3 linked regions of the Arabidopsis thaliana genome follow. The protein of the gene in region 3 interacts with the protein of the main gene of each other region in a pairwise test. Each region holds a gene or a part of one and is shown on either strand. Other genes may lie near its edges.

Region 1 (3,763 bases), on a different chromosome or scaffold from region 3:
TAATCAAAGAAAAAAAATATAACTAATTTTTATTTCGTTGATTCTAATGGACCTACATTCCGATCCTCTTAAGTGAAAAAGATGCTTTCGTACCCCATAAATAAAATAAAATTATATATTTGGCTTAGAGAAGTGATATCGACGAGAAAAAATTCTTCAAATAAATTTATCGACGGACCCATATTGTATATATAGAATGTAATGGAGAAGAACAATCATTTCCCCTAATACAAGGGAAGATTGTATACACATTTCAGGAGGAAGACTATCTAAGTTAGTGCACTTTTGTTAATTTTGGTTCAAATTTAGGTTTTAGATGTAACAAATTTGATTTTTCATTTTTGGTTCGGTTTGTTACCATCATCCAAATGAAATATTTTGGATACATATAGATATATAATCATTTTAGTTTAAACTTGGATTGGACTGAATTAGATAAATATAATCAATATCATCTAGTAGTAATAATGTGATATGTGGGTTAATTTTTCTACTAAACAAACACCACGAGTTGGGTTGATATTATGTATCCTCATTATGGAGTGAGGCTTAAACAGGAAATTATAAGTTGTTTTGTTCTTAAATGAGTGATTATGTATTATGTATGATGATGATGATGAGTAGGCCAATTTAGTGACTGACTACAACGTGTTCCTACAATATATTGGTATATATGCAGTGATCCTACTATTCGAATTTCGTTCTTGGAATGTAACTAATCGTAAACAAAATATCTATAAAAAAAAACAATATTTATATACTTTACCGTAGGGGTAGCTATGTATAACTCGTTTGAGATATTCTCTCGATATGTTACCTAAATCGATTTGATTCCAAACAAAAAATTCTGGCTAATTAACCTGACTAATCATGGATTGGAACAGATATACAATTCATATACAGAGCAGTACTATCGTGTCTTGTCTGGTTAATTATCCGGACCGGACTAAACACCCGTTTAATGTGAACATAACCAAAGCAATCAAGTATCTGAGCTTAATTAATTATTACTGTTGATTAAGTTAATGATTAATTAGGCAAAAAAGTAGATTTGTATGCTGCTCACATGGGTTTGCGTGAAATAATGCTTTTAACCATCTTTTTGTCTCTCCTATACAATTCGAGCTAAAAAGCTAAGTCGTGTCCTTTATTTTATTTTATTTTTCTTTACATTGTTCTTTTGCTGTTATGATTTATGAATGTTGCACGAGATGTTATCTATCTACTATTTTAAAACACAATTGTATATTTTTTTTCGTCAAGGACTTGAAGTTAAAACACAATTGCTTACGAAAATATCAGTAAATTTACTGTTTCAAGAAATGATTATGCCTTCCATTTTACAACAATTATCGTTGTGAAATTCTTAATACATTAAAAAATGTTATAACGCCATTTAGTTTGAAACGTAAATGTGTTAAAGAGATTGAAAAAAAAGAAAGAGTTTACTAATTATAAAATTCAATATAATAACAATTTTTTTGAAATTCAATATAATTAGTATTTTTTTTTTTGAATACCAAGAGGTTTTGGACTGAAACCCGTAATCCCTCCGTACCCGAAACTACAGCATATAATATTACTTTTGTTCTAAACGTCATTCGAACTGGCGATCTCTAAGTTTCGTCTAGGGTTTTTACTAATTGAATTAACAACACTTGGTTATAATTAGTAATTATTTGTCACTAGCTTTCTTCCTCTGTATTTATAATTGATAGCATATTAATCAGTAACCTATATATAAGTAAGTATATTTGAATTTTTGTTTTTAGTAGTAGTTCTATTTTTAATGAAAACATTTTTAAACCTAAATGAAAAAATAATTATCATTTTTGTTCAACTATCCAAATTCACCTTCGTATAATACATGTCGGATTCAATTTCGTGTAATATATGTCGTTTGAAGAATAACGGGTGAGAGTGAGATAGAAGCGACCTGAAAACGAAAGGCAACTCTTTTTATACCTAAAGATTCCTTTTTTCCTAGTCAGTCAAAAGAAGTCAACGGTTAAGTCAGTTGACTTCAGATGACGATTAATGACGTCAGCATCAGTCCTTCCTCTGTTAAATAGAAACCAAACCACTTCGAGTTTCACTCACTCACACACACACACATAAACAAACACACAAAGACACATAAACACCACAATAAACTAAAACCCACCATGTGTGGACACGTCAGCACTTCTATAACCTCCGGCGACAACTGTCCATGTTTTCTATACTCCGACGACATAGTGGCTCCTCCTCAGCTGCTTGATCATCATCATCATCAGTTCCCGCCTCCGCCTTTGGCGCTTCTTATGATGAGCCAAAACTCTCTATACGCGGCCGAGGCGGTTTCAGGGTTCGGTTACTTTGATTCCGGCATGAACGGTGGTGGTGGAAGCAGCAGCTGCGACTCGCCAAGCTCTATGGGGAGTGGCGGAGAGAGTCTTGTTATGCAGAGGAGTGTTAGTAGCCATAATGGCTTTTCCGGTAATTACACAGCGGCCCATGATTTCGTTAACGATGATGATGGGCCAGTGAGACGGGCCCTTAGCGCCGGAGATCTACCCGTAAGTAATATTATATACACACTTGCAGTTTCGAGATTTCAAACGTTAACTTTTATGTTTTCGTTTACGTATGAAATTTTTCACATTTTATAAAACGAAACATTATATTGTTGGTTTGTTTTATGGTTTTGCAAGAGTGTAAAATGAAAACACCAAAACACAAATAAATTATCTAAACATACTAAAATTTGGGGTTTTATTTGAAAATAATAATAATTCTATCATAACATAAGACGACACTGTTTTGGTATGTGTGTAGAGGAGTAGCAGAAGAGAGAGCAGTACGGTGTGGAGTGAGAGCAATGCAATAATAGAAGGAATGAGCAAAGCCTACAAGTATAGTCCTGAGGAGAAGAAAGAAAAGATCGAGAAATATCGTAGCAAACGAAACCTTAGGAATTTCAACAAGAGGATTAAGGTAATTTTATAAATGTTTTACAGTTGTTTCTTTGTTCTAAACTGTTTGTTAGCATAAATTCTTATATCTTATTTTAACATATAAGAATTTATCATTTGATTCATATTGTTCTTCATCACATAGAGTCCATGTACACCTAACCTATATTATATATTCAACATGTGTATATATGTGTCGCATGGAAAACTTTTGAGGACTTGACATGTACAGTAGTTGTATGGAACAGTGACATGCACCTTCACATATATTGATGCAACCATTTTCTAATCAAGCATACAATTTCCTATAAATTTCTTCATTAATCAACTAATAATGATTTCTGTATAATTTCATACACAAGAGCATATATAAATGTCTATTTTCTTAAAATCAAATGTATAAGATATCTTTTCTTAGTAATACTGTTTTTTTTTCACATTTAATACAAAACTAAATGGTTCGTTGACCAAAAAAAAAAAAAAAAACAGGCTCAATGTATCATATCAATCACTCTTATCACTAAAAAGTAACATTGAATTTTTCTTTTCAATCTTATCTTCAAACATAAATAGAATTTCATCTGATATATATGAGTATGTGAACGAGAATTAATGTTCTGTCACATCATATTTGGGTCTAAGGAATCCTTTGAGATAGACACATCAAGCTCCAAGGTTGCTACAAGTTTTTTTCTCCATTAGTTTTTTCTTACAAGAAGGTCCACAAATATATTTCATTGCTAATTAAAGATCGGATTGGAGTATTCATGTACTAACATATTCAAACCGTATCTCAATGAGATATTTCT
Region 2 (3,763 bases), on a different chromosome or scaffold from region 3:
CATCATGTGCAGATGATCGAATCGATGAAGGGAATAGGTCTTTGATCGTGTTCACATGTGTTGTAATGGTCTCTCTAGGCATCTCCAGATTGATGTCTGAACTATTCTCTGTGCTTCCGTTGTTGCTCCATGAAGCTTCTGCTTCTCTCTTTACTATGTTTCCTTCATTACATTCTTTGTTCTTTAAAGCCATTACCTTTAACCATCATCACACACAATTCAAATGTTAAGTTTTAGAAATTCAGATATTAAAAATTATCATTTCTATATATCATTAAAATAAACATAATTATATATAATTTAAATTAACAAAATATTTTTAAAATGACTAATAACTTAAAATAGATAAACTGTAAGACTATATATGTAAATTATATATTTACATATACTTAGCTTAAGTAATTTTTGAAAATCTTGTAACTATTACATTTCAATAAGTAGTAAAATCATTTAAAACACACAAAAATGATATGATATAAAAATCAGTATTCTTGTCAAATTTGGTTAGCGCACACATGCCATTACTTGATAGTCATATGGGAATGTATTAATTAAATTGTAAATATTGATCAAGAATCCTTTTTATTAATAAACAAAACACCTACTGTCTTTTGACAAACATCTTATAGTGTTGGATCATGTGCCTAACAATAATCTATTGCATTTCGTATTAAACGACTTTAATACACACAAGATACATACATATATATATATATATACACTGATATATATACACATATATATATACTACATAAATAGTACCAATCCAAGCCAATAATCAGAAAAATATTTGTAGTCCTAGATTTATTTTACGTTGGTTATTACTATTAGTGCAAAACCAAAAATAAAAAAACCAAAGAAAAAAACAAACACAATCAAATTAGAAATGAAAGTTGAATTAAACACCTTATTTACTATATAAACACACATATATACTTACTTATATAGATACATACCTCAGCAAGGAGTTTCTTGTTATAGGCAAGTAGAGAAGCATTGTCGGATTTAAGAGACTCAAACTGTTTCTTGAGTGAATCATAATCTCTCTCGAGCTGTCTAGTCTTCCACCTAGCTCTCCTGTTTTGAAACCAAATCGCGATCTGTCTTGGTTGCATCCCTAATGCTTTAGCTAGTTGTATCTTCCTCTCTGGCTCCAGCTTGTTACCAAGCTCAAAGCTCTTCTCTAATGCCTTAACTTGCTCTAATTGCAGCCTCTTCTTCTTCTCTCCCAGCATAGTATGTGCCCCATCGTCTGATAGATTCTCCTCATCCAAGGTTTGATTATGATCTTCTTGCACGTTCATTAAAGACATAGATCTGTTCATCATGTAGTTTCCTCCTCCTATATACACCAACAGAATTCATGACTCAAATCTATTTATGTGGAGAAATAGTGAGAGAAAGAGAGAGTATAGTACCATTGAAGAGATGAGGAGGACAAGAAGGGAGCTGATCTTGACTGTTGTCTTCATGAAGTTGTTGGAACATAAAACCATGTTGAGGAAACGCCATCTCTAATCTCAATCCAGCTTCTGTTGTTGGATCAAACACATACATGTATGTATTCCACCAAAAACCTATCAGTGATTAATGGATTGTGAAATCAGTATAGTGATGATCAAATATACTTTGTTGTTTGCAGATTTGGAAATCACTATCAAATGAGTTAGGTGTTTCTTGTGGATCTCATCAACCTCTCATATAAGAGAAAGAGAGAGAAAGAATGAGGAAAGGATCAAGCTAGGGAGGTTTCTAGGACCCATCCTTAATATTTTAAAAGCTTTAGGCTTATTATTATATTTCATATATATTCTCCAGTTCATGTAATAAAGTTATTTTATAGTTTCTGCCTCAAATATTTTCGATCATGTAACGTTACTAATCATATCTTCATGATGGTTTTTTTTTTCTTTTTCTTTTCACAACACCTTTTATGCTTTAAAACCTCACATATCATTTATTTATGTTTTCCAAGGAAGCCCAAAGACTTTTTACATCAATTGCTTCCTCCTCCACCGATATGGGCCGCTGCTTTTGCAGCCCGGCCCAAAGCATCTGAGAACCATAAAGCCCCATTAGCAAAGTAACGACTGTTGACCACACTAGTCGCTGCAGCTGCAGCCACTTTCCCTGTAATGGTGGCTGCGGCTACAGCAGCTGTGCCCGTGACAAGAACCGCGGATTTAGTGAAATCCGAGAAATGATACTTCTCGTCCGCTGATCTCACGAGTTCCATACTCGACTGAATGTTCTGTGTGAGGCCAAGGTAATGGCTGATCTCTGCCAATTTGGTCGCTACCAAGCTTGAAAATCTCTGAGACTCATCCAAAGCTTTGGCTTTACCAATCGCGTCTTTGCTTAAAACGTAGCCTTTAGCTAACATCGTCTGCACAACTTGTTGAGCCACGGTTATGGCCTCTCCAGGCGATGAAGCAAACGCGTCTGAACGAGTCACCTACAAAGAAACATTTTCGAGAATCTTTGGCTTATAACCTAAAGTAACCTAGTAAGTATTGTTTTTAATGTTACCGTAACACTATAGTCTTCTTCTTGTCTGAGATTGTTAGATTCATGTAAATAGACACCGTAGACCGATATCCAAACGGTTTGATCAACGATCGTAGCTCCCTGAAGATCAACATTAAAATCAATGCCAAGAAGATCATACTGGAAATTTCTAGCTAATTAAGGGACTTACGCTAAGTAACACAGCCATATCCAGAGCATACGCATCTCTGAAGGTTACATAAGCCGTTAATGCATCCCCTTGGCACCTGAAATCCATGGAGACATGAAACAAAATATAAACAGATTCAAGAATGATTAATAATTTACTGAACAATGAACGTTGTTGTTACCCGGTGATTTCAACGAGCTCGACGATACCACAGTGAGAGAAGAACCTATGAACATCTTTCTCAGTGGCTTGAGGAGACAAGTTGGTGACTTGAGCAACGTAACCACAAGGATACATTATATTGTTCTGTTTTCTCACACGAACCTAGATACCTAAATCAAAGAACAAACATAAACAAGATTCTTGAATCACATTCCGTGAACCGTTGAGCGATTTTCTAGAGATTTATACAGCAAGAAATCTACAAAGCTACGATTACTATAATGATTCAAATAAAAAAAATAAAAAAGGTGTCCAGGCCAAATAGTTAGCGGAGAGGGAAGAAAGAAGAAGTAAGAACCCTAGATTATAATTGAATGAGATAAGAGATGAAAGTAACAGTAACAAAGATAATCAATGAGATATGTATCAACCAACCACACAATCGGAAACTTCGAGAAGCAGGGCACGAAAAAAAACTGATAGTGTATGTTCTGTTTTAGATTACCCGATTAAGGCACAATAGAACAGGACGTCACAGGATTGAAGCCAAGTATCGAAAGAGACGGAGAGAAAAGAAGACAAGATTCGTGTGATTGTGAGAGAGAAAGAGGATTCTTCAAATTTAAACAAAAAAAGAAAGAAGAGGAATGTTAACATTTAAACCAAAAAAGAAAGAAGAGGAATGTTCACATAATTTTTTTTCTTTTGTCGGCTCGATCGATATCGATGTTGTGGTCGACGATACGCGTCAAACGTAAGCTCTAGCGATGCGCGTGTTATTATTGTTTCCACGAGTCTTTTGGGCACTTTTTACTTAGGCTTTTTAAAGCCCAAATATCTGTTTTCAAGCCCAAGTAATTAGTGAGGACATTTTCGTCAATTTTTCATCGGAACGCAATTTAGCGGTTAACGCCTTAACCGTCG
Region 3 (3,353 bases):
TGGAATTATCGTCTGACATCGAGACTACAGTTATAATGGCATTTATGTATTTACGCTATAATAATAATATTAAAAAATTTTACAAGTCTACTCGTTTTATTGTAAACACCCAATTGTTACTTTGAAAACTTAAAATAAAAAGTCAAAATTGTAATTTACTTCTAGGTCATCATCTTTCACGAAAACCCTAATCGCCGTCAGCTTTTCTGAAAGGCTCTTCTTTTTGGTACTCTGTTTTTTTTTTCCTATAATTTAATCACTTATCTTAACCATGAATTCTACAAATTTATGATAAATTTACAGATTTCTAACCAAAAAGTAAAATTCTAGGTGATTTCCCAATCCGACTTATTTCTTTATGGTCGAATAAAAGTTATACACTAACAGAAATATAGTTTTCTCCATGGTTGTACATAGCTTTGGTGACTTAAACAGTTTTAAATTATCAATGAAGATAATGAAATACACAAAAAGTTGTTTTACAAAGTACTAATAAAACTGAACATGAAAGAAATAAAGTCAAATCTTAAAGAGATGCTTCTTCACCAAATACATGATGCTGGGAGTTTCATAATCACTTGATCGTCTCTATTGCCTCAACTTTCTTCTGCAACTTTGTCCTCCAGTTTGATCTTTGTTGATCTTATGAGATTTACCATGGAATTCTTGATGATGTAATTTAAGCCTTTTCTTAGTCTCATTCTTAGAATGAATTAACTCTGTATGTACAACCAACATTTGTGAAGTATCAAACAAACTATTGCACTTTAGACATATAAATGAACTGTCTTTCTCAAACGGCAGGCTATATATCCAACCACCGTCTTTTTCATAATCGATTTCGTCATGAATTTCTTCAAGGACCTCTGTTGGTTTACAGATATATTTCACCGACCGACCATTTTTATGAACATATTGCTCATGATAGTGTTTTGGGGAGGATGAAAATATATCCAAATGCTGACGACATGCATAGTCTTGTTGCGAACAAAAGAAATCGATGGGTTTAGGTGTGAAGGTTTCATACTGTTTATCAAAATCATTTGGGGGGTTAACTGTAGATTTCAAAATTGGTGGATAAGAAGTCATGAAACGGTTGACACGATCATTATCATTTTGGACAATGACCATATTGCTTGTCGGAATAAGAGCATGATACCTTTTTGCGATGGTTTGAGTGATAAAAACTTGAGAATAGTTAACAAAACCACTAGTTTGAGCTATGAAAGGCATACTGAAAGGAGAAACCATGTTGGTTCTCAATGAAGATGAAGAAACTTTTGAAACATGGGAACTAGTAAAAAAAGAAGATGGATATAAATTAGCATGGTTTTTGTTGTTAGAAGTAACGAACATTGATGAAACCATTTTAGACTGGTGATTTATCGAACTTGAGTTTATTTGGATGGGAAAATCACTGTGATTCATAGTACAAGGGAGCGTGTGTTTTAAATACTTTGCATATCTATCTATTTATATTAGATTATTATTTATTAGTATACCTTAATAAAAGGGTAAATTGGTTTTTATATTAAATAAAAAAGACTAAAGTGGAAATTTTTAAAAGAAAGAAACTAATTTATACATATAAGGAAATGAATATTTTTGTGGACTGATATCTAATTTTAATATCTATTACTATAAAAAAAATCTTCAAATTTGTAATTTTCTATATTTTTATTTGGAAAACCTCTATTTGTTTTGGTAGTATTTGGCTGTTATTTCAAAATTAGTTTATCACTTTATTGTTTTTACTTATTTGGGATGTGTAAGTTGAGAATCATTTATTATATCGTTTATCCCATTGATTTCCATTTAAAGTGCAACTCTCACAAAAAATAAAAATAAAATAAAATTCTAAAAATTTAGTTCAACAGATTTTTATGTTTCAGTCAAAAGTTATGGTAACAGAGGTCCACTTAATAAATTTCATTTAATTCATATCTTAAATTTTGGATTTATATGTTATATTTTTTACTTCTAATCTTCAATATGTAGATATCTAATATACGATGAAAAAAATGTATACTTTGAATATAATAAAGAAGAATATAATATGATTTTTGTTCGACGATACAAAAAGTTTAGATATAATTAGTTTAATAATTAAAATATTACAAAAAGTTCTTTTATTTTTTTAGCAAAAAAAAATAGAATTTCCATTGAAAAACCAATATGTTGAGTACATGATATAATCTTGTGATCATAGATATTACTTAAAAGAACTATCACAATTAGAAATTAACTTAAGAAAACAATGAACAAATAGTTAAATGACTTTTAAAAAATGTACACAATAGAATAATAAGAGAGTGATTACATAAAATAAAAAATTAAAGTACAAAATACAATACACCGGTCAATGTAAAAAAATATCTCATAACATGAATCGGAAAAACAAAATTTCCAGAAAGAAAGGAAAAAATATGTAAAAAAAGCAAGAAAGATATATATTTTTTTAAGTAAAGTAATAATTTTATTAATAAAAAAACAAATATTAATATTTCTCAAAACAAAATAATAAATTGTATAACAATTTTCATGTTATCCCTTTTTAATAAGATTTTATTTTTTTACATATCTTTTTAATTAGATAACATGACCATTGGATTAGCGATTAGCGTGTAGGTGACATCGACGGCCCAGAATGCTCGGCATATTTACCAAAACATCCTTCGAATTTTAAACCCCTAGCTTTTTTTCCTTTTTTCTTCAATCTCCCTCGCCTTTACGAATTCGAAACTCAAAAACTCAAAATCATGGCGGCAACAAGCGACGAGCAGATGAATTTGCTTCTCTCCAGTTTCGATCAAATCTACGAGGTGATTCTCTCTTCCTATCTCTTCTTCTTCTTCTTCGCTTGCTGCTTCCACTATTCTGGTTTCGTTTTTCGATAGGAGAAACCTAAATCTAATTCGATTACGATTATCTCGTCATCTGAAATCAAATCGATTCGCTCTCCTTCTCTAATCGAACCGAATGAATTGAGAAATCTGGAAATTTTGATCAGCTCATGTTGTATTTCTCTCACCGGTAGTTTCAGAGATGATCTGGTATTCAGAAATTTCTAGGCTACTGGTACTGCAAATCCGTACAGATTTCGAATTGATTACTCATAAGTTTTTGAAGGATTAGTACTGCTTAATTGAAGGATTAGATCGCTAGAATAATCGGAACATTCATAGTTCATTTTTGTTTCTCTCAGGATTTTAAAATCGGGTTGAATGAGATCAATGTTTACAGATCAAAGAGCAATGTTGAATCAAGCAGGAGAGAGGTTCTTGAGATTAGTAACAAAAATCTCAAAGAAGGTTTGTTGATTGGTGTTTAGTTTAGCTTTGCTAGTCTTTTAA

Evidence for each region.
Region 1: the proteins of AT4G26030 (region 3) and AT5G59990 interact in a two-hybrid assay, tested with the Arabidopsis thaliana proteins (one large-scale study listed by BioGRID).
Region 2: the proteins of AT4G26030 (region 3) and HB20 interact in a two-hybrid assay, tested with the Arabidopsis thaliana proteins (one large-scale study listed by BioGRID).

The regions. Positions count from the first base shown.
Region 1 is NC_003076.8:24,151,487-24,155,249, reverse strand, and holds the start of AT5G59990 (CCT motif family protein), read left to right. Parts: upstream 1-2,048; 5' UTR 2,049-2,165; coding exon 2,166-2,558; intron 2,559-2,817; coding exon 2,818-2,976; coding exon of another isoform or gene 2,977-2,988; exon of another isoform or gene 2,989-3,399; intron 3,400-3,763.
Region 2 is NC_003074.8:71,393-75,155, reverse strand, and holds the start of HB20 (homeobox protein 20), read right to left. Parts: upstream 1,850-3,763; 5' UTR 1,558-1,849; coding exon 1,419-1,557; intron 1,343-1,418; coding exon 957-1,342; intron 197-956; coding exon 1-196. Other genes in the region: AT3G01210 (RNA-binding (RRM/RBD/RNP motifs) family protein), read right to left, coding at 1,997-2,455, 2,530-2,628, 2,699-2,774, 2,859-2,974. UniProt on the Arabidopsis thaliana protein: Probable transcription factor.
Region 3 is NC_003075.7:13,203,435-13,206,787, reverse strand, and holds AT4G26030 (C2H2-like zinc finger protein), read right to left. Parts: upstream 1,252-3,353; coding exon 589-1,251; 3' UTR 562-588; downstream 1-561. Other genes in the region: AT4G26020 (4/1 protein short form protein), read left to right, coding at 2,760-2,822, 3,206-3,311.